Linked DNA regions of Sus scrofa. The main gene of each other region encodes a partner of the protein of the gene in region 2 in a complex. Links are inferred from orthologs where the notes say so. Each region holds a gene or a part of one and is shown on either strand. Other genes may lie near its edges.

Evidence for each region.
Region 1: the proteins of KIAA1429 (region 2) and ZC3H13 are in contact, whole or in part, in a cryo-EM structure (PDB 7VF2), measured with the Homo sapiens proteins. The link is inferred for Sus scrofa from reciprocal best matches to the Homo sapiens genes VIRMA and ZC3H13. Residues at the interface, in NP_056311.2 of Homo sapiens: Leu521, Ser529, Tyr531, Gln532, Leu535, Glu536, Ile538, Leu539, Leu540, Asp541, Val544, Val547, Thr548, Ser551, Leu554, Gln555, His558, Glu561, Val562, Ser564, Glu565, Lys567, Gly570, Asp571, Ala574, Glu575, Thr577, Ser578, Glu621, Glu625; in NP_001317494.1 of Homo sapiens: Pro1492, Leu1493, Asp1494, Val1495, Ile1496, Asp1497, Val1498, Asp1499, Trp1500, Ser1501, Gly1502, His1507, Leu1518, Lys1520, Phe1521, Pro1523, Val1526, Met1527, Arg1529, Val1530, Gly1531, Ile1532, Ser1533, Lys1535, Leu1536, Ala1537, Gly1538, Leu1541, Lys1544, Val1545.
Region 3: KIAA1429 (region 2) and METTL14 share a complex: the UniProt entries of both Homo sapiens proteins name them as parts of the WMM complex. The link is inferred for Sus scrofa from reciprocal best matches to the Homo sapiens genes VIRMA and METTL14.
Region 4: KIAA1429 (region 2) and RBM15 share a complex: the UniProt entries of both Homo sapiens proteins name them as parts of the WMM complex. The link is inferred for Sus scrofa from reciprocal best matches to the Homo sapiens genes VIRMA and RBM15.
Region 5: KIAA1429 (region 2) and CBLL1 share a complex: the UniProt entries of both Homo sapiens proteins name them as parts of the WMM complex. The link is inferred for Sus scrofa from reciprocal best matches to the Homo sapiens genes VIRMA and CBLL1.

Annotation. Positions count from the first base shown.
Region 1 is NC_010453.5:21,379,055-21,382,567, reverse strand, and holds part of ZC3H13 (zinc finger CCCH domain-containing protein 13), read right to left. Parts: intron 2,307-3,513; coding exon 2,106-2,306; intron 1-2,105. UniProt on the Homo sapiens protein: Associated component of the WMM complex, a complex that mediates N6-methyladenosine (m6A) methylation of RNAs, a modification that plays a role in the efficiency of mRNA splicing and RNA processing.
Region 2 is NC_010446.5:42,231,920-42,235,432, reverse strand, and holds part of KIAA1429 (protein virilizer homolog), read right to left. Parts: intron 2,998-3,513; coding exon 2,831-2,997; intron 2,110-2,830; coding exon 1,778-2,109; intron 762-1,777; coding exon 618-761; intron 1-617. UniProt on the Homo sapiens protein: Associated component of the WMM complex, a complex that mediates N6-methyladenosine (m6A) methylation of RNAs, a modification that plays a role in the efficiency of mRNA splicing and RNA processing.
Region 3 is NC_010450.4:105,050,796-105,054,740, reverse strand, and holds the start of METTL14 (N6-adenosine-methyltransferase subunit METTL14), read left to right. Parts: upstream 1-1,137; 5' UTR 1,138-1,318; coding exon 1,319-1,384; intron 1,385-3,945. UniProt on the Homo sapiens protein: The METTL3-METTL14 heterodimer forms a N6-methyltransferase complex that methylates adenosine residues at the N(6) position of some mRNAs and regulates the circadian clock, differentiation of embryonic stem cells and cortical neurogenesis.
Region 4 is NC_010446.5:109,788,743-109,792,823, reverse strand, and holds the start of RBM15 (putative RNA-binding protein 15), read left to right. Parts: upstream 1-1,268; 5' UTR 1,269-4,081. UniProt on the Homo sapiens protein: RNA-binding protein that acts as a key regulator of N6-methyladenosine (m6A) methylation of RNAs, thereby regulating different processes, such as hematopoietic cell homeostasis, alternative splicing of mRNAs and X chromosome inactivation mediated by Xist RNA.
Region 5 is NC_010451.4:107,455,207-107,459,455, reverse strand, and holds the start of CBLL1 (E3 ubiquitin-protein ligase Hakai), read right to left. Parts: upstream 2,812-4,249; 5' UTR 2,313-2,811; coding exon 2,186-2,312; intron 1-2,185. UniProt on the Homo sapiens protein: E3 ubiquitin-protein ligase that mediates ubiquitination of several tyrosine-phosphorylated Src substrates, including CDH1, CTTN and DOK1. Targets CDH1 for endocytosis and degradation.

The DNA.
Region 1 (3,513 bases), on a different chromosome or scaffold from region 2:
CTCTTCCTGGTTTTGAACGGACCAGCACCAAATTACACAAGAGACAGATTAAATGCATACATGAGTAGTAACAAACCAATGGAACTAAAATAACTGGGAAAGTTTAGCTCCAAAGAACCTATTCATACCACCATCAGAAAACCTAGACAAAAGCAATTTCAATTACAGGACAAAGGCAAGTTTTCTGTTTTAAGTCTTAGAATTTAAAAATTACATAAGGAGTGGGGATATTCTTTTTGTACTGGGGCACAGAAACAGACCAAACAGGGAAAAAAATCACTATCAGTTATTTCACAAGTATTTACTGACTACTACTCTGTGTCAGGTACTGTACATAATCAGTAAGAACAGGTCACTAGACATTAAATAATGCAATAAACAACAAGTCCTATTCCTTAGGGAACTTACATTGACTATCATATTAGTTTACTAACAAAGCTATCAGAGCACCAAAAAATAAGACTACTTGGTAACAAACAATCAAATCGCTACAGTGTATATTTTCATTGTTTAGATTTAGCTTGTCCCTGACTAATAATCACTTTAGCCTGATTTTGCTATGCAATAGATTTTAACTGGAAATGCCAATAGAAAAGACACAGAAGGAAATAGCTTTAGAGACGGCTAAGACTTCAGGGGTTTCACTACATCATTTTATGCCCACAGGGAGTTACTTGCTTAAGAGCACAGAACCAGTTGAACAAGGGAGAAAGAATGGGATAAGAACTCAAAATACTGGTCATTTTTCAGGTTAACACACACTATTATAATTTACATTTCTTATACACAGTCTATATTTATTGGGCCAAGTTAAAATCAAGAGTCTTACTGATTTTGTTAACAGTTGAAGAAAGAACATGGATTCATGAAATACATATAACAAAATTTGTGGAAATTTTATATTAGTAGAAAAGCCCAATTCTTTTAAACTTTTTACTCTCATGAACATGATTTAATATTAAGGAATCTTACTGCTTTCACCTTTTACCCCCTTTCCTTCTTGTTATACTCCTCCTCTCCCTTAATAAAGTATTAATAAGCTACCTGGAGTTCCCATCATGGCGCAGTGGTTAACGAATCCGACTAGGAACCATGAGGTTGCGGGTTTGGTCCCTGCCTTTGCTAGGTCGGTTAACGATCCGGCGTTGCCGTGAGCTGTGGTGTAGGTTGCAGACGCGGTTCGGATCCAGCGTTGCTGTGGCTCTGGTGTAGGCTAGTGGCTACAGCTCCGATTCGACCCCTAGCCTGGGAACCTCCATATGCCGCGGGAGCGGCCCAAGAAATAGCAAAAAGACAAAAAAAAAAAAAAAAAAAAAAAAAAAGCTACCTAAATGTAATAAGGTAGGTACTAGGTAAGAGAAACAGAAAAAAAAAAAAAAAAAAAAAAAGTAGTGTTCTAGAATAATGAAAAACTGTAACAGGAAGGTCTACAATCAACCTTGATAAGAATGTTTTCAAGCACAACAGCAGCAGCTAATATTTACTGAGCATCACTGTATGTCAGAAACTGTTCAAAGCGTTTTACTTGTAATATTCATTAGCTCCTCCTAACAATCCTATGACCTTGGTGGTATAATTATCTCCAGTGTGTAGATGACAAGAACACAAAGAGCGTTTAAATAAATTAAGTGCTGCGCAGATGTGGAATCCAGGCCATCTGGCCTGAGAGGAAGCTCTTAACCACTTTGTTAAAGGCTCAACCTAAACATCTGCATTTGAGTAGACTTCCCCACTTCCCAGGGCAAAAGGCTGCCAAAATAATCAGTTTGCTTACATACGAAAACTAGCTAGTTCACTTTTCCCAGGCCTGCTTCATTTAGCCCTGGGTAAACCATTAAGCACTCTGACATTAGAACCTACCTGTTAAAAAGTAATTTTGATACAGAAAGATCATCATGCTATTTTTAACAACTTTTCTATAGGCTTAAATTTTTCTCAAATCGAAATAAACATTGACTATGAGGATTAAATGATGAAAATAAGTGATTCCTTAAAAAAAAAAGTTCCTATATCGTAACTGCTACATGAGAACAAAAGAGAATCCTTTTCACAGGCATCTTAGTAACTATATTAGACATTATACAGTCTAAGTGGGAGGGAATTACCTTTGGGTTTTTCTAAAAGTCTCTGACACGTTTCTTTGACTTTAGTGAAGAGTTCAGAACCAGCCAACTTTTTAGAAATCCCAACTCTCAGCATTACCGCTCCGGGTGTGAATTTTAACAGTGCAGCCCCAGGCTCTCGTGGCTCTTTTGGATGCTTTGGCATAAGGCCAGACCAATCCACATCGATCACATCTAATGGATCTATAAAAAAATTAAAGAACAGATTTTCATTACACTAAGAAATACCATTCTTGTTGTCTATAGAGAAAGAAATATAGACTACTAGAAATAGAAATTAAGAGCCCCATTTAAAATCAACATTAAAGAAAAAAAAAAATCTAGAAATAAATTTCAACCCAGGAGGTAAAAGAGCTATATACTCTGCAAACTACAAGACACTGATGAAACGAACTGAAGACAACACAAATGAATGGAAAGATATCCAAGTTCAGGAACTGGAACACTTAATATTATAAACATCCATACTACCCAAAGGAATTTACAGATTCAATGCAAGCCCTATCAAAATTCTAATGGCACTTTTCACAGAAAAAGAATAAACAATCCTAAAATGTGCATGGAACCACAGGAGACTCAGCACAGCAAGGCAATCTTGAGAAAGAAAAACAAAGCTAGAGGCACCACACTCTCTGACTTCTAACTATATTACAATGCTATTTTCAAAGCAGTATAATACACAAAAACATATATATATGAATGAAACAGAACAGACAGGCCAGAAATAAACCCATGCATATATGCTCAATTTATGACAAGAGGGCCAGGAATATACAAATGGGAAAAGCACAGTCTCTTCTATAAAAGCTGTTGGGAAAATGGGACAGCCATTTACAAAATAATAATTATCTTACACTACACACAAAAATTAACTCAAAATGGACTAAAGACTTGATTGCAAGAATTGAATCCTTAAATCTCCTAGAAGAAAACTTAAGTGTTATTAGCTCTTTGACATTACTCTTGGTGATATTTTTTGGAAACCAACTCCAAATGCAATGGCAACCAAAGCAAAAATAAAGAAATGCAACTACATCAAACTAAAATCTCCTGCAAAGTGAAGGAAACTATCAACAAAATAAAAAGGCAACATAATAAATGGGAGAAGAGATCTGCAAATCTTATATCCATTAAGGGGTTCATATCCAAATATTTAAAGACAAAAAACAGACAGTCCCATTAAAAAATGGGCAGAGTGGAGTTCCCATCATGGCGCAGTGGAAATAAATCTAGGAACCATGAGGTTGTGGGTTCGATCCCTGGCCTTGCTCAGTGGGTTGAGGATCTGGCGTTGCCATGAGCTGTGGTGTAGGTCACAGATGAGGCTCAGAACTGGCATTGCTGTGGCTCTGGCATAGGCTGGCAGCTACAGCTCTGACTGGACCCCTAG
Region 2 (3,513 bases):
ATCCATGAGGATGAGGTTTTGATCCCTGGCCTTGCTCAGTGGGTTAAAGGATCCCAGAATCGCCATGAGCTATGGTGTAGGTCGCAGCTGAGGCTCAGATCCTGAGTTGCTGTGGCTATTGCTCCAACTTGTGGCTATTACTCCAACTTGACCCCTAGCCTGGGAACCTTCATATGCTGTAGGTATGGCCCTAAAAGGACAAAAATAAATAAATAAATAAATGAATAAATAAATAAATAAAATCCACATATAAGTGGATAATCCTTGCTGTTCGAATTCATATTGCTCAAGAGTCAACCTGTATATATATTCTATGAAGATATCTCAGTTTACTTTGGTCAAGAAGGTATCTTAAATGATTTTCTTTCTTTATTGAACTATAAAAACAGAGCACATAAACATGAAACCACTCAGATTATACATACAGTTTAGAATCTAAAATTTTGAATATTTATACAGAAGATATATACTCATTCATAAATATAAAATGGACTAGAATTATATATCTACATTCTGAACTATTCTCTCCCAGAAAGAGAATACATGACATTCAACAATCTGAAAAGGAGGATTCACCTCCCTCTTTCTGAACAGTATCAAGCAGGAAAAACATGTACCTGTAGAACTAAGTGGTCGTAATGGTGGAAGAGGACCCCTGTTAAAATTGCTCTGGCCGCCACGACTTTCATTGTAAGTTCCTCGAGGAGTATTCTGAGCACTCCAACTGGAGCCTCGCGTTCCCTCCCGACGACTGTAGTTTCCTAAACACGGGCAACGCAATCAAAATCTACTTTTTTCATAACTTCAACTGGATTAAGGAAGTTATGACAGGTTTTACTTAATCTTCAAAAGTAATGGAAGTGAAATCATGAAATTTTGTAAATGGGATACAGGTGGAGTGGCAGCATTACATGTAGTTAGAAGACTCTGGAGCAGACTGCCAGGGTTCAAATACTGGTTCTGCCACCTATATTTACACATCCTGGTCAGCTGACCGACAAGTTTTCTATTACATGGTAACACTAAAAGAACTTACCTCATGGAGTTAATGAGAGTATTATACGTAATGCTTAAAATAGTTTCTTGGAAGTTCCTGTGTGGCACAGCAGGTTAAGGATCCAGCGTTGCTGCAGCTGTGGTGCAGGTCCCGACTGTGACACATGTTCAATCCCTGGCCCAGGAACCTCCCCCTGCCGTGGGTGCAGCCAAAAAAAAAAATTCCTAACACAACTATATGTTTACTATTAATGTAAATGCCTATTCTCTTTCATCCTCATAATCATGAAAATATGTCATCAATCCACTGACAAAGTGTAATTTTTATAAGTTTATATGTTAGAAACTCAGTTTCTAAAATCTTGAAGTAATTTAAAATATTAAACATAACATTAGGAAGCAAGTAGATAAGAGAGTCAATAGTGAACTACACAGAACTATCTTCAGGAAACTGCTGATAAGTACAACTGTTATAATAATGTATGGGTATTATTCAGAAAGGAAAAACACAACTCTCAGTGCAAAAAGGAAAATAATTAGGTAAGACTTCTTTTAAGCTCATCATTAAATATGCAATTAATCAAAAGTTAAACTAGAAATTGTTTTTTTCTATCCAATAAAGTACTCTGTAAATAGTACTACCTACCACTGGTCTAAAGGTAGCTTAACTATAATAACAGAAAAATACTTTATTTGATTGCTTCCATTTAAATCACTTCTATTCAGTATTTTAATATTCCAGTATCAGAATAACGCATTAGAAAACATACACAGTAGTTACCTTTTGAAGCAGGTGGTGTAAAAAATCTATTCTGACTGTGAAAAGCACCCCGTCCTCCCCGATTGCCTGAAAATCCACCACGAGAAGAAATCTTCTGTGATACTTTGAGTGGCCGTTTTGGAGGGGGTATCCCATCTTGAGGGACTACTTCTTTACTTTCAGCTGCAACAAAGTCATCCACATGCATGGATGGTGGTCTGCTTGTGTTCTGTTTTCTTTGACGAAAAATGTCATGAGGTCGTATACCCTGTCCAAATCCTCCTCGGCCCCTTCCTCTTGGTGGTGGCACAACATGAGCTCGTTTGGCAGGTTCAATGTATTCAGATTTTCCACTATTAAAAACAAAAATACTCCATGAAAACTTTTTCTTTTACACATTGCCAGTGAAAATATGTCATTCTTTGCAACATTGTAAGCTACATTTCAATTATTTCTTATCACAATTTTGCTAACTTTGTACTTCTCTCTATTACTTTCCAGGGAAACAAAATAAAACTAGTTAAGAATGGTGTTCATGGAGTTCCTGTTGTGGCTCAGTGGGAATGAATCCAACTAGGAACCATGAGGTTGCAGGTTGGATCCGTGGCTTCACTCAGTGGGTTAAGGATCCGGTGTTGTCGTGAGCTGTGGTGTAGGTCACAGACTTGGATTGGATCTGGCGTGGCTGTGGCTCTGGCGTAGGCCAGCAGCTGTAGCTCCAATTGGCCCCCTACCCTGAGAACTTCCATATCCGCAGGTGCAGCCCTAAAAAGACAAAAAAAAAAAAAAAGGAATGGTATTCACATTTTACTGATATGAAAACAATTTTTAAAAACAACCCAGTTCGCTCTTTTTCAAAGCTTCTAAACTCTTAGAAACTAAAACAATGTTAACAAATTTACAAGATATGTCCAGGACAAGTTACCTTTAAAAAAAACTTCAAAACAATATTCACGACTTAATTATTATGTCAACTTTCTTTTTCCTTTAATAGTCATGTGTCTATCTTAAAATATATTAAAACAAATAAGCTTACTTGACCCTAATCAAGATTTTCAGTAAAGTAAAATCTACCTTGAAGTTATAAAGGTCTCGTGCTTGTGTTTCCCAAGTTTGAATCCTTTAGTAGTCTTGGTTCTTCCTGGAGATGATGGTTCTGACAAAAATGAGCGCTCTAATTCTGAGTGCAAGTCAAAATCACTACAACACTTTTCAGAGAGCTCAATTAAGTCAACCTTTACCTGCAGTCATAAAACAAAATGAAAAACAAATCTTAAATATAACTATTAATGTATCATTATACTTTAAATGTAAATATTAATATAACATTTGATTACAGAAATTTATTTCCTATAAATTTGACTCTCATAACAAATAAATTATAGGCCTGCCTCATCTTTCCCTAATCTTAAAAAAAAAGCAACATTACTGGCAGTTTTTTCAAAATCTTAGGAATTCAGCTGCTTTTATTTTGGGGGTGGGGTAGGCTTGGGTGGTAGCATTCTTCCTCAAAGAAGTGCTATTAATCTGGGAGGCCTCTGCGGCCTGACAAAGAACTCAGAGTTTCTATATATAAACAGTGGTGTATCTCCAGAATTCTTCGAAATGAATCTGAAAAAACCATAATTCCACAAGCCTATAGTCAATATATCTGTTATAAAAGGATTATGTCGGAGTTCCTGTCATGGCTCAGAGGAAATGAATCTAATATCCATGAGGACGCAGGTTCGATCCCTAGCCTCGGGTTCAATCCCTGG
Region 3 (3,945 bases), on a different chromosome or scaffold from region 2:
TACTACCACCCACCCACTTCCCTAACGAAAACACTCCATAAAATTCATCGTGGTAAAATAGGAAACTTTTTGGAGTTTAGGTAGTGGCTAGGCAGATTAAGGAGCCCACACTATCTTTCTGAGAATGAGGGTTGGCTCCCTGGCTTCCCTCAGTGGTTTAAGGATCTGGCATTGCCTCAAGCTGCAACACAGATGCATCTTGGATCCTCTGTTGCTCGCAGCTGTGGTGTAAGCCATCAGCTGCACGTGCGGCTGTAAAAACAAAAATTAAATTAAAAAATAAAAATAAAATAGGAAACTTCTCAAAGGCTAATAAGTTGTGAAGAAGAGCCCCGGCAGAGGAAGTAGTTGTTCCCTGCCTGAAGGGGAAAGTAAGCGTAAAAAAAAAAATCTTAATAATAATAAACACTTCCATAGCAGTATGTGTTTGGCTGTGTTTATTCTTTCAATCTTTGCAACTCTGTGAGGTAGGCACTCCTCAAGCCCATTTTAGAAATAAGAAAAATAGAGGCTCAAAGAAATTGATTGACTAGCCAATCACTCAGCTAGTGCAGGGTTCAAACCCCGCAATTTGACTCGAATTCGTGCTTTCAGCAAGACAATGCTATCCAGTAATTTTTATTTTATTTATTTTTGTCTTTTTAGGGCCAAACCCGGGGCATATGGAGGTTCCCAGGTTAGGGGTGGAGTCAGAGCTACAGCTGCCGGCCTAAGCCATCCTAGCCGAGACTGCAACCTACACCACAGCTCAACGCATCGCAAGTCCCTTAACCCACTGAGCAGAGCCAGGGATGGAACCTGCGTCTTCATGGATGCTAGTGAGATTCCTTTCTGCTGAGCCACGATGGGAACTTCTACCCGGCAATTTTTAAAACGTTAGGACTAGCAACTGAGGAATTTACGGCAAAAGGAATCAACGAAGCGGCCCACAACTCCTAACACACCAAGGGAGCCTTAAGTCTCATAAAGGAAAGCTCAAATGAGAGGCCCGGAGACCAGCCCACTCCATTTTTGACAGCTGCGTCCACCAAACCGCAAAGCTTTCCGAAACCTCTCCTGGGCTGGTGTTGCAGGACCCTCATTGGTTCCCTTGTAGGTGCCGTCAAATCGCAGGCATCCAGGAAGAGGCGGGACTTCCGGTCTGGAGGAGCAAATTCGGACCGCACCGGAAATACCTATTGAGGAAAAGAATATTGGGTACCCGCCGCTGGAAGCTGCTGGAGAATCTTGTGTTCCACACATTCGGAAGAAAGATTGGTGGGGGAATTTATCTCCTCATTGCCAAATTTTCGACGTAGTGGAAAACAAGAGTTGGGCCATGGACAGCCGCTTGCAGGAGATCCGGGAACGGCAGAAGTTACGGCGACAGCTTCTCGCGCAGCAGGTCCGCGGCCCTGGGAGGGGTCGCGAATGCGCGTGCGCGGCCGCTCTCTTGCCTCCACCCGTAACCCCCGTTTTCTGTCTCCTTACCTTCCGGGGTGCAGTCCCTTTTGCTCCCATGACCTTAATCCCTGGGCCTGCCTCTTGTTCTCAACTCACGTGGTGCCCCGAATCTTTTCCATGCGAGGTCATTGTGGTGGTGCTAAACCGAACGCCACGTTTGAGTGGTCTTCAGCAAACTTGATGGCCCGCGCAGTGTCTGGCACAGTGCTCAGTGATGGGGATACAAAGCTTTGGTTTTTGTGTGCAAGTTACCGCAGTTCAAGCAATGAAAAGTGACTTGTTTTCCCCTAAATTTCTCTTCACTACTTAAACAGTTGTTTGCCTTTCTTCATAGTCAGCGCTTAATTCTTAAGATTGTGGCTTCCTTGTGAAATAGATTTACAGTATCTTCTCTGGGATGATGTCTGAAGATTGCATTGGAAGTAGCCTGGGTGTAAATCTTAGATTCTGTATCTTGTGTGTTGCAGTCGATTGTGCTGTGTACGGTAACCTCGTCAACACCTACAGCTAATGTTTGAATTCTTACTCTGTATCAGTCACCACAAACGTCTGAAATAGGTAGTATTATCATCACTTAACAGATAATGAAACAGAAGCTTCAGAGGTTAAGTCATTTTTGACCCGGGTCTTTCACCGCTAGGACAGAAAATTGAACTCAGGTTTGTCTCTCCAAAGCTTATCTTCATACTCCCTGTGTATAAGTTAGCATTTACTTAAAGTATAGACTGCTACTTAAGTCTGAGGCTGTGTTTTCCATTCTATCATTCAGATCAGTGAAAGTGATGGGGGAAATGCTCATAGGCTTTAATAGGGCATCTTATTTTTTTTCAGTAATAAATCTTGTTTTTAGTAAGTGGAAATCTGAGACCTTTTCTTTTATGATGTCTTAAAAAGATTTATGGTACAGTGTTTAAAAAGTGGGTATTTGGAATCAGATCTGTCCCTGTCCTTTTGGTGTTGTGATTTTGGACATATCAGGTATCTTTTCCAGGCCTTTCTTTTCCCAGTTTTTTTTTTTTTTATCATGTTATCTTCAAAAATGATCAGTAGTTCTATTACCCCCACTGTTTAGTTTTGAATTCAAACCTCTATTTGATTCAAAATACATTTATAAACAGTTATTTGAGTGTCTCACTATATGCGAGAAGCTCTCGTAGACATTGGGAATTCAACTATGAATAATAAGTAGTCTTACCCTTGAAGAGCTTACATGGTGTGCAGAATTTAATAATGGCAGCCATTTATTAAATCCCTTGTATTGTTAAGACTCTGCCAAGTTTTTACTTATATTTGATCGTACAAGTCAGGTGCTGTCTGCACCTTATAGATGAAGAAAATAAAGCTCAAAGAATTTAGTTACATGCTGCAGTCCACAATGCTTTTAAGTTTGCAGGATGCAGTTTTAGGCCTTTGCATGCCCTTTGCAATACACCTAGTTGCCTCCTGGTGTAGTTGGACAGGAACCATTCCACTTAGGTAAGGATGTTCAATGTAGTCAATGACAGACTTCCACTTTTACCAATTTCAGCCTCTTTTTCACTTACTTTTCTCTGTATGAATAAGACAGACTGGTTTATTACTCTCCAGAATGTGATTTGTGCAATATATACTTGATTTTTAGTAATTGTCCTTCCTTTCTGATTTCTTTCTATCCACTGTGGCACACTCCAGGTCCAAACTTGATGAAATCTATCCTGATCTCCCTGTTTTAGGCTCTTTTCTCGCTCAGCTTCCATTGTCCTTACTGTTGAGTCCACTACTGTGTGTAACTAACCATCATACACAATACAGTTTGTGTGCATTTAATTCCTGTTGTGTTCATCTTCCACCCTAACTTTGTTTCTTGTCCAAAGTAAGCTTTTAATAAATTTTTGTTGATTAATAACTGTTAGAGTACAACTCAATGTGTATAATTTCCCTGATTTGCTTTTGGCTGCTGGATGAAGATATTGGATGCAGTGTATAGGCCCAGACCATGACTGTGGCAAATGATGTGCAATTTACATGTGCTTTTTACTGAACTTGTAGCTTTGTTTCAGAAAATTGCACTTGCTTTCAGATGATACCAAATTGTTGTAATTACTCAAATAATTTATTTAGGGTTACCACAATGGAAAGTCTGTTATTTAAGTTATTCTATTACAGTTTTTAAAAAAAAATTTGGAGTTTGAGAAGACAATTATATATGTGAGCGGAATTTGATTTAAAGCATTCGTCTTGGAGTTCCCATTGTGGCTCAGTGGTTATCGAGTCTGACCAAGAACCATGAGGTTGTGGGTTTGATCCCTGCCCTTGCTCAGTGGGTTAAGGATCCGGCGTTGCCGTGAGCTCTGGTGTAGGTTGCAGACGTGGCTTGGATCCCGCGTTGCTGTAGCTCTGGCGTAGGCTGGCAGCTACAGCTCCAATTAGACCCCTAGCCTGGGAACCTCCATGTACCGAGGGAGCGGCCCTAGAAAAGGCAAAAAGGCAAAAAAAAAAAAAAGCATTCGTCTTGTAAAACAT
Region 4 (4,081 bases), about 68 Mb from region 2:
TCCCACTACATTAGTTACCTAAGGAATTGTCTATATCATTTGTTATAAAATATTTTCCTGTCAAAGTACTGCAAAGAAGGGGAGAATGAACACTGGGGAGTCACCCATAATATGTAAGGATGACTTCAAAACAAATGCTTTTCACAGACTGGGAAAAAAAACAAATAATTCTATAGGACATATATTATTCTTCTTAAATATCTGTAAATTATATTGGCTCTCTAAACCTCAGTTTCCTTAACTGATAAAAAAAAAAAGAGAGAATTATAAGCCTATCCATCTCCACAGGTTGTTGCGAGGCTAAAGCAAGCCAATGGGAGGAAAGTTTTAGCAGAGCACCTGGTATGTCATTACTCAGTAAAGGCTGGCTTTTATTTTTATTATCTAGTTGTGAGTTATGTAATCTCATTTATTTGTTCAGATTTCAACCTGTGGGAAGGAGAGGCTGCTGCTGAAGAGCATGTCGTTTCCAACAACCAGGTTCACACGGGATATGGTGGAAAGCGACCCACAGTGGTAGTTACTGGCCTCAGGTTCTGTCCCACACCCTGCGGATTTATGTGCCAGATCCAGAAAGTCACAGAACATAGAATTCTAGGATTTTATGGGAGGCAGATTTTGTCAAGAGAAGCTAGGACTCTAGATTTGGGCTCCTGCTCCTTTCCCTTTGACTCTACTGCCTCTTTCTTTAAAACAAAACAAACAAAAATTACCACCACTGGCACAGCTGTAATTAGCCTCTCTAAATCTCAGTTTCCAAGTCTGCAATTAAGATAATCATATTTGCCCTAACGCATATGATTACTATGAGGATTAAATTGGATAATGTAAGGGAAATCATAAAATGACTGTTTTAATTGACTCTTGCTAAGTATGTACCATCAGCTTTATATACATTGTGTCTTGAAATTCACCCTGTAGGTAGTTGTGGAAGAGACTGTTGGTGACCCCAAGACCTGTTCTCCCTCTTTTCCTTAGAAATAAGACCCCTGAAAAACAAATACCATATGATATCACTTACATGTAGAATCTAAAATATGGCACAAATGAACCTATCTACAGAACAGAAACAGACTCACAGAGGCAGAAAACAGACTTGTGGTTGCCAAGGGGAAGGGGGAGGGAGTGAGATAGACTGGGAGTTTGGGATTAGTGGATGCAAACTATTACATTTAGAATGGCTAAAAAATAAGGTCCTACTGTATAGCACAGGGAACTATCTCCTGGAAGAGACCATGATGGAAGATAATGTAAGAAAAAGAATGTAGAGCTGGGTCACTTTGCTGTACAGCAGAAATTGGCACAACATTGTAAATGAACGAAGTTTCAATAAATTTTTTTCTTTTTAAGACTCCTGATTTTTAGTTGGGCTAAAGTAAGATACAGAATTATACCCCCCAGCATTCCTTGCTAAGTGTGGTTGCAGGTCTATGTTTTGGTGAATGAGATAGAAGCGGAGTTTTAGTGAGTCACTTCTGGGAAGTGTCTTAAAAGGAGGAGGACATGTTGTTCCATCTTCACCCGCTGGGTGACTGGAATGGTTATTTTATGGCTGGAACTTGAAAAGCCGTATTAGATCATATGGCAGCATAACAATCTCAGAACATCAAAAGAGAAGGAAATGATCCATTTCTTGAAAGTCTTCTGATAATAAAAAAGAGTCATAGTAACATAATGAGTGAAAAATGCAAATCTCAGATTACAAGTTAGTATGAAGTTACAAAACGAGCAAAACTAAAATAACATACATTTAAGGCGCATGTATGTGCATGTGCGTGAACACACATTTGCACGCATACACATATATGGATTCCTTAAAGTTCCTTAAAAATTTTTTTAAGTTTTTAAAACAAAACAAGGGATTGCTAAATACCAGGTTCAGGATAGTTGCTATCTATGAGGGTAGGCAGTGGATAAGGGAGGAACATTTAGGTAGATGCAGATTATTGGTAACTTTCTACTTGTTGGATTGAATGATAGGTTCATGGGTATTCATTATGTTCTTGACTAAGTGAAAAGTTTAAAGGCCCATAGATGAACCACTGATGATTGTGTGTCATGAACTAAGGATTGTGATTAATTCAATTCTACGTACTTAAGTTCAAAGAGAAAATATACTAGTGATAGCAATATATGCTTACCATGTGCCAGGCACTCTTCTAAGCTCCTTGTACAGTCAGATGACCCATGGTTGGTTGACTCTGAGGATGCCAACCATATATTTTAACCCTTTTAATCCTCCCAGTAAAGAGGTTCTATGATTGTTCCCATTTTATAGATGAGAAAATAAAGGCTCAGAGGGATTAACAGTAACTCTTTTGAGACCCACAGCAGAGCTGGGATTTAATCCAGGCTAGCTGGTTCTAGAGTTCATGCTCTTAACTACTGCCCTATAAAATGTCTAAATAAATGAAAGAGATAATTATATTAGGGCTTAGTCACCTAGGAGAAATTATAGCAGAGGCTTTCTGTAACAGTGCTGCAGGATGAGCCACACGCACAGCTCTTTAAGTATACTAAAAACCAATGAATTGTAAGCTCTAAATGGGTAAACTTTATGGTATATAAATTATATCTTAATAAAGCTTTTTTTTAAAAAAAAACCCCCACAAACCACAAATAAATGACTTTAGGATGCAAACTGTGTTCTAAGTGATTGTTTGCTATTTTAGCTATTGCATATATGTCTATGGGTAAAAGAGACGTATTCTGCAAACAAAACAAGCATTACAGTCAGGAGACCACTCACTTTGCAAGAAAATGAAACAGAAAATTTTAATCTACTACTATGAGCGGGAGAATTGTTTTTTAAATCCCCAGCTTCAGGGTTTTTTTTTTTTTGCATCTGCCAGGAAATCAAATGGCTTTCAGCGCCCAGGACAAATTTCATATTGTAATCATAACTGTCTCTGTGTGTATTGAGAATACACAAATAATAAAACATAGGAAGGAAGGGGTGGAAAGAGCACATTTGATTGAAAACACTGATACCTTTTAATTGCACAACTTTCTTTCATGTGCATAACTTTTATTTTGCTTTTCCTTTTTAATCTAAAACTGATTTTATAGGAGACGGAGAAAGCACTTCATTTAGACAGCTTAGCTATGTTTGCTCTCCGCCTGGGCTGTTTCCTCTAGGGCGTTTGAGTTGTACAGCTCCAAGGCTCCAAGGGGTCAGCATTGAGGTCAGAATAGGCAATGGCTACTTTCCTCAACACTATTTTTTGGTTTCTGACAAGGCATTGAAAGGAGAGATCAACATGCTGCTCTGATGCTCAGGGAATCTGTGTTTTCCTGACCGCTGAAAGATCCTCTTCACCGGGCCAGTTACCCTCGCAAATCTGGCCAGAGATCACAAGACCAGATGAAAGCCTGGACGGGACCTCAACAGCTCCATCACCAACACTAGAAAAAGTGCTCAGTCTTGGCTTTCTAAACCATGGGTCACTTTTATCCTCTTTCAGCCCTCTCTAAAGCACATGTGTGAACATAGGCTGATACACCCTCACTAAGGCACTTCATACTTTAAAGAACACAAAGAAAATGAAAACAAATCACTTATTTTAACTATAGCTTGGATCAACATACCATGTCATTTTTCACTTCTGTCGTGGACACTTGTACGTGTGCACACACACACAATTATGTTTTGACTCTAGTTATCAAAAGAGATAATGGAATCCAGGCTATTTCTGTCTACCCATTAATTTACCAGTCCTCTTGATACGAGATAGGCTGTCACCCCCCCCCCACCCCCGCTTAGCTAAGCCTTCCTGCTGCAGCCACATGTGGGCAATAGCTTCCATCAAGCTTTCTGGTATTTTGAATGGCAAGCCACTAAGCCTAGCAGAGCCCTGGCCACTGCCACACATACCAGTATAGGCTCCCTGAATTTCTCCTTCAACTTTCATGCTCCCTCAGTCTATATCGTGAGGCTTAGGAAACTAAACTTATTTGGTCTTTTTTTTGACCAGTGAGTCATCTAAGCAAGTCAATTTAGGTCAAAAATAATCACCTGGGAGCTTAATTTATTTGGATTGGCTATAACACTAGTTAAAGTGGCTTAACTTTAAATTTGTGT
Region 5 (4,249 bases), on a different chromosome or scaffold from region 2:
ACATCATTCTGAGTTTGTCTGGGGGTTTTATTGAGAATCAGAACATGTAGAACAATTTCCTTTTGAATATGCCAAGTGAAAACATAAAGCCTTAACAAAAGCCCTTGGATATTACAGAGAATGAGAATTAAGGATACAACTGGTCATTTAAAGTGAAATTCACTTTACAAGGCATTAACACTTTTACATATGTTTTTTAAAGATTTTTGTTTATAATTTTATCTTGAAATAAAGAAACCAAAAATATTTTTACAAAATTTAGGTCACATTTACAACTAAGTGCAAATTCTAAGAAAAGCCAAAGAATGAATCAAGTGTTAATTAGGAGTTTTGGGGAGTAATTTTTTTTGACAAAATTCTATTAGCCCGCCACAGAATAACCTTCATCTTATGATTGACTTATTCAGCATCATCACAAAACCAGTCATTTTTGCATAACATGCATCAATTTCCCCAGGTGGCTTCATCAATTTCCCATGGTGCTTCTTAATCCTTTGCTTTAGGATCATCCTTTTGAGATGCCTATCCTGTTATAATGTTTTCAATTAACTAACTAACTGCTATTTCCTCACTTGCCCAAGATTTTGTGATTCAAGGAATTATCAAATTCACATACAAATTTCATGAAAACCTGAATCTTTTGTAAGGTTTGTAATCACAATCAATGTACAGCATCTGATACTATTTCCTGATATGAAACACCAAGGACACTGCCTTATAACAAAATTAAGTAAAAGAAAAGAAGCTGGTGTTAAGTGGCAGAAATATCTGAGCAGGAACTTTCTAAGTAGTCAGCTCATTAGTGAATATGTTCATGTTAAGATGACTTTTATTTTCTTGGGCAAACTTTTAATTTAGAGAACTGGGGTAATAAATACTCAGATACACACCTACCCATATTATATTTTCCTAACATAACATCCTCTGAACTGTGGAAGGTGCCTGACTGCCCATTTCAGTCTAAGCTCAAATGAGAAAAATCTTGCTATTGTGGCATGTCTGCTACTCCAAGACCAAGATCCCAGAGTTTTGATTCTATAAAATTTTCAAACACTAGAGTTCCATAGAGTCTGGTTCTAGGTCCTCTTCTCTTCTGTATTCCTGTTCCTGAAGTGATCTTATCCATCCCCATGCCTTAAAATAACAGCTATGCGGTACTAAATCCCCAACTTTCTCTCACCTCTACTTAACATCTTGTATGTCTCAATACACATCTGGTACTCTGTTTTCCAGTAATGGGCACTACCTAACTATTCAAAACAGAAACCAAGGCATGTCTCCTTTCTCTTACATACCTCCAAAGAAATCCACCAGTGCATGTTTTAGTTCTACCACTAAAAGATTTACTGCATCTGCCCACTCTTCTTTTCACTAAACCAAGCCTCCCTTTTGGTGTACTGCACTCACCCCCTAAGTTTTCTATTTTCTTTTCTTGCCTCCTTCTCTTACACCATTCTCCAGAGAACCTATTATGTTTTTACAAAGAGATTGTTACCCCTCTATTTCTGTTCAGTGGCTTCATACTGCACTTAAAATTCAAGTGTTTACCATGGACTTCAAAGTCTTTCACCATCTCACTCCTGCCTTCCTTTCCAATCTCGTCTTGGCGTTCCTTCCCTCTTGCTAACTAAGGTGCAGCTGATTGTTCTTTCCTACATTTTCCCACCTCAGAGTCTTACTTTCGGTAAATTCTTTCCACCTGATTTATTCCATGAGGGATTCTTCTCGTCCATCAGATTTCAGCTTACAAATGTTACTTTTCCAAAAAGATCTTTCCTGACTCTCCCTGGAGCTTCCTCCTAGTAGTCTTTACCATGGCACCCATTTATTTTCTTTAAAGCAATCATAATCTGTAAATATTTAAGTTTTGGGTTTTTTTTTTTAAAACTTATTATGTCTTTCCCAACAGTACCTAACCTCAAAAAGAACATAGACTCAGTGTATCTTGTTTACCATTCCATCTTCAGGCCTTGAAGAGTGTGTGTAAGATACACGTACAAAATTAAGTAGGTAGCTGATGACAGAGGACATCCCGACTAATAGTTAATACTGGAAAAAGCCTTCTCTAAGCCTAGATATAACCATACGGAGCAGTGTCTAACTCCAAAGGTACTCATTCAATATCCAAAAAACACAAGGAAGCAAAAGCCAAAAGACACACAACAAAGAGTGGAGCCATTCTTACTTGGAGAAAAGGATGAGAGTATCTTGATTTTAAGCTCAAGATTGATGGTTAAGGACCACAGCCGAAGAGCGGGGCACGCTTTTGGCTTAAGCAGAAAAGCTGCTCCCGGTATGATTCCGAAAACCATATCCGACTCCCTTCTCCCACCTCTAGTCCATGAAAGACCAAGCGGTGACCACCGCAGCACCCGCCCAAAGCTGACTGAGACAGCAGGAAGTCTCCAATCCACTCTCGCGCAACGACTCCCAGTTCAATGAGGCTTCCCCGACTCCGAGATTGGAATCTACCCGCCAGTCCCCATAACGTAGGGCACGGCACCCAGAATGAGGAAAAAAAGAGCCGGCGCTCTCTCCTCCCCGCGTGGCCTGCGCCGCCCGCTGTCCCAGCTCGGAGCTTAGCAGAAACAGAAAAGGAACGGCTGTTGCCGGCACTGAGGCTGTAGGTACCACACCGGAGGGTAGGCCGGGAAGTAGCAGGCCCTGGCCGGACACGGAAAAGGGTCTGTGAGATTTCTTTTTCCCCGCGACACCTCAGTGCTGTGGGGCGAGCGTAACCCCTCTATGCCGGCTGGGCGACCAGTCCCAGGCCGGCCAAGGGGGCATGGAACCGGGACCCCCACTGCCTCCGCCTCCTTACCAGTGTGATCCATGATTCGGCTCGCGGGGCACAGTGGGAGCGGAAGTCAACGGCGCCGGAGTCGCAGGGAGCGCGTGCGCGCTACCTTCCGGAGCCCGAGAGGCGGAAGTGCGACCAGCTCGCCCAGGCTGGGGCCCTTAAAGACGTCTTCCTCTCTCCTTGGCTAGCCGACTCCGGTGAGAGAGTCAGGCATAGTTCAGGCAGAGCGAGAGAGAAAGAGCGAGTACGCGAAAGGCTACACTGTCGAGACTGCTAAAGCTTCCTCTCATGTGCTTCAAGAGGGAGTAGCCTTTAACTGTGGAATGGAGACCGACCGGAACCTAGGAGGAGGGGAGCAGCAGTAGCCACAGAACTAAGCTCGCGGCAGGTAAAGCGGCCGCCCGCTCCGCAGAGCTTTGCCTTCTGGGATATGTAGTGCGCCGCGACACTGGAGCCGGCCGGGCCCACTGCGCAGGCTCGGCCGTTAGGCTGGCCCCACCCCGGCGGGCGGAGTAACGGTTTGGAATCCCCCTGAGTCCGCGAGCGGAGGTCTCCTCCCCCACGGCCAGGAAAACTGTAAACACGAGCTCTGCGCAAGGCGTTCTCCAGTGGGAGGATGCCCGGGGGAAGGTGGAGCTGTGTGAGGCTCTCAGCAAAGCAAGAAAGGCTCTATGCTTACTGTCTACATTTTGCTTTGTCGTGAAGAACTGCAGAGATCCACGCAGAGCTGACTTGAGTATCAGCCCTGATTCCCACCCATTTCTAACGCTTGATGAGCATTCATTTTCTAGGCAGAACGCTTGTGGGGCTAGGATCCCTCCGAACATCCCGCCTAAGGACTGGATGCAGGGCCAGCTGGAGGGCAGGTGCCATGCAGCCGCTTCTTGTTAGAGGAAAGCGGGGACTCAAGTGCATGGTGGAGCTGAGGGTGAGGAGAGCATGTTAGGGCTGGCCGTAGGGGAGAGGTGAAAGAGGAAAGGCTTAAATGAGGAAGAGATAGCAGCATGGGCAGTACCTAGTTCCAGTTCTTGGTCCCGGGGGTTCGTGGTTGCTGCCGCTTTCATCGTCCTCAGCTGAAACAAAAGGCAGGTGCCCAAGAGGGATTCCTGAGGGCCTTCAGTTGGGTCTCCACTTCCAGGCCCTGGCGCATCTGTGTTCACTCCCTTCTCCACCCTTTCACACTTGACGGTCTTGGATGAGTAGAAAGGAGTGCAATTAGTGGAAAACACAAGCTGGGAGTCCAGGGATTTGGGTTCTATTCTTGTTGTCTCTGGGTGACGACAGCATTACCTCGTGTTATTCAGGCTTTCAATGCCAGAGTTCCTAGATCAGAGATTATCGTATTGATCTTTTAGAGAAGTACTTTTGATCTCATGGAGACAGCAGTGAGTGATGGCTTGGAGCAAAATCTTTAATTCTCCGCTCAGGAATTGAACCTGGGCAGCCTGG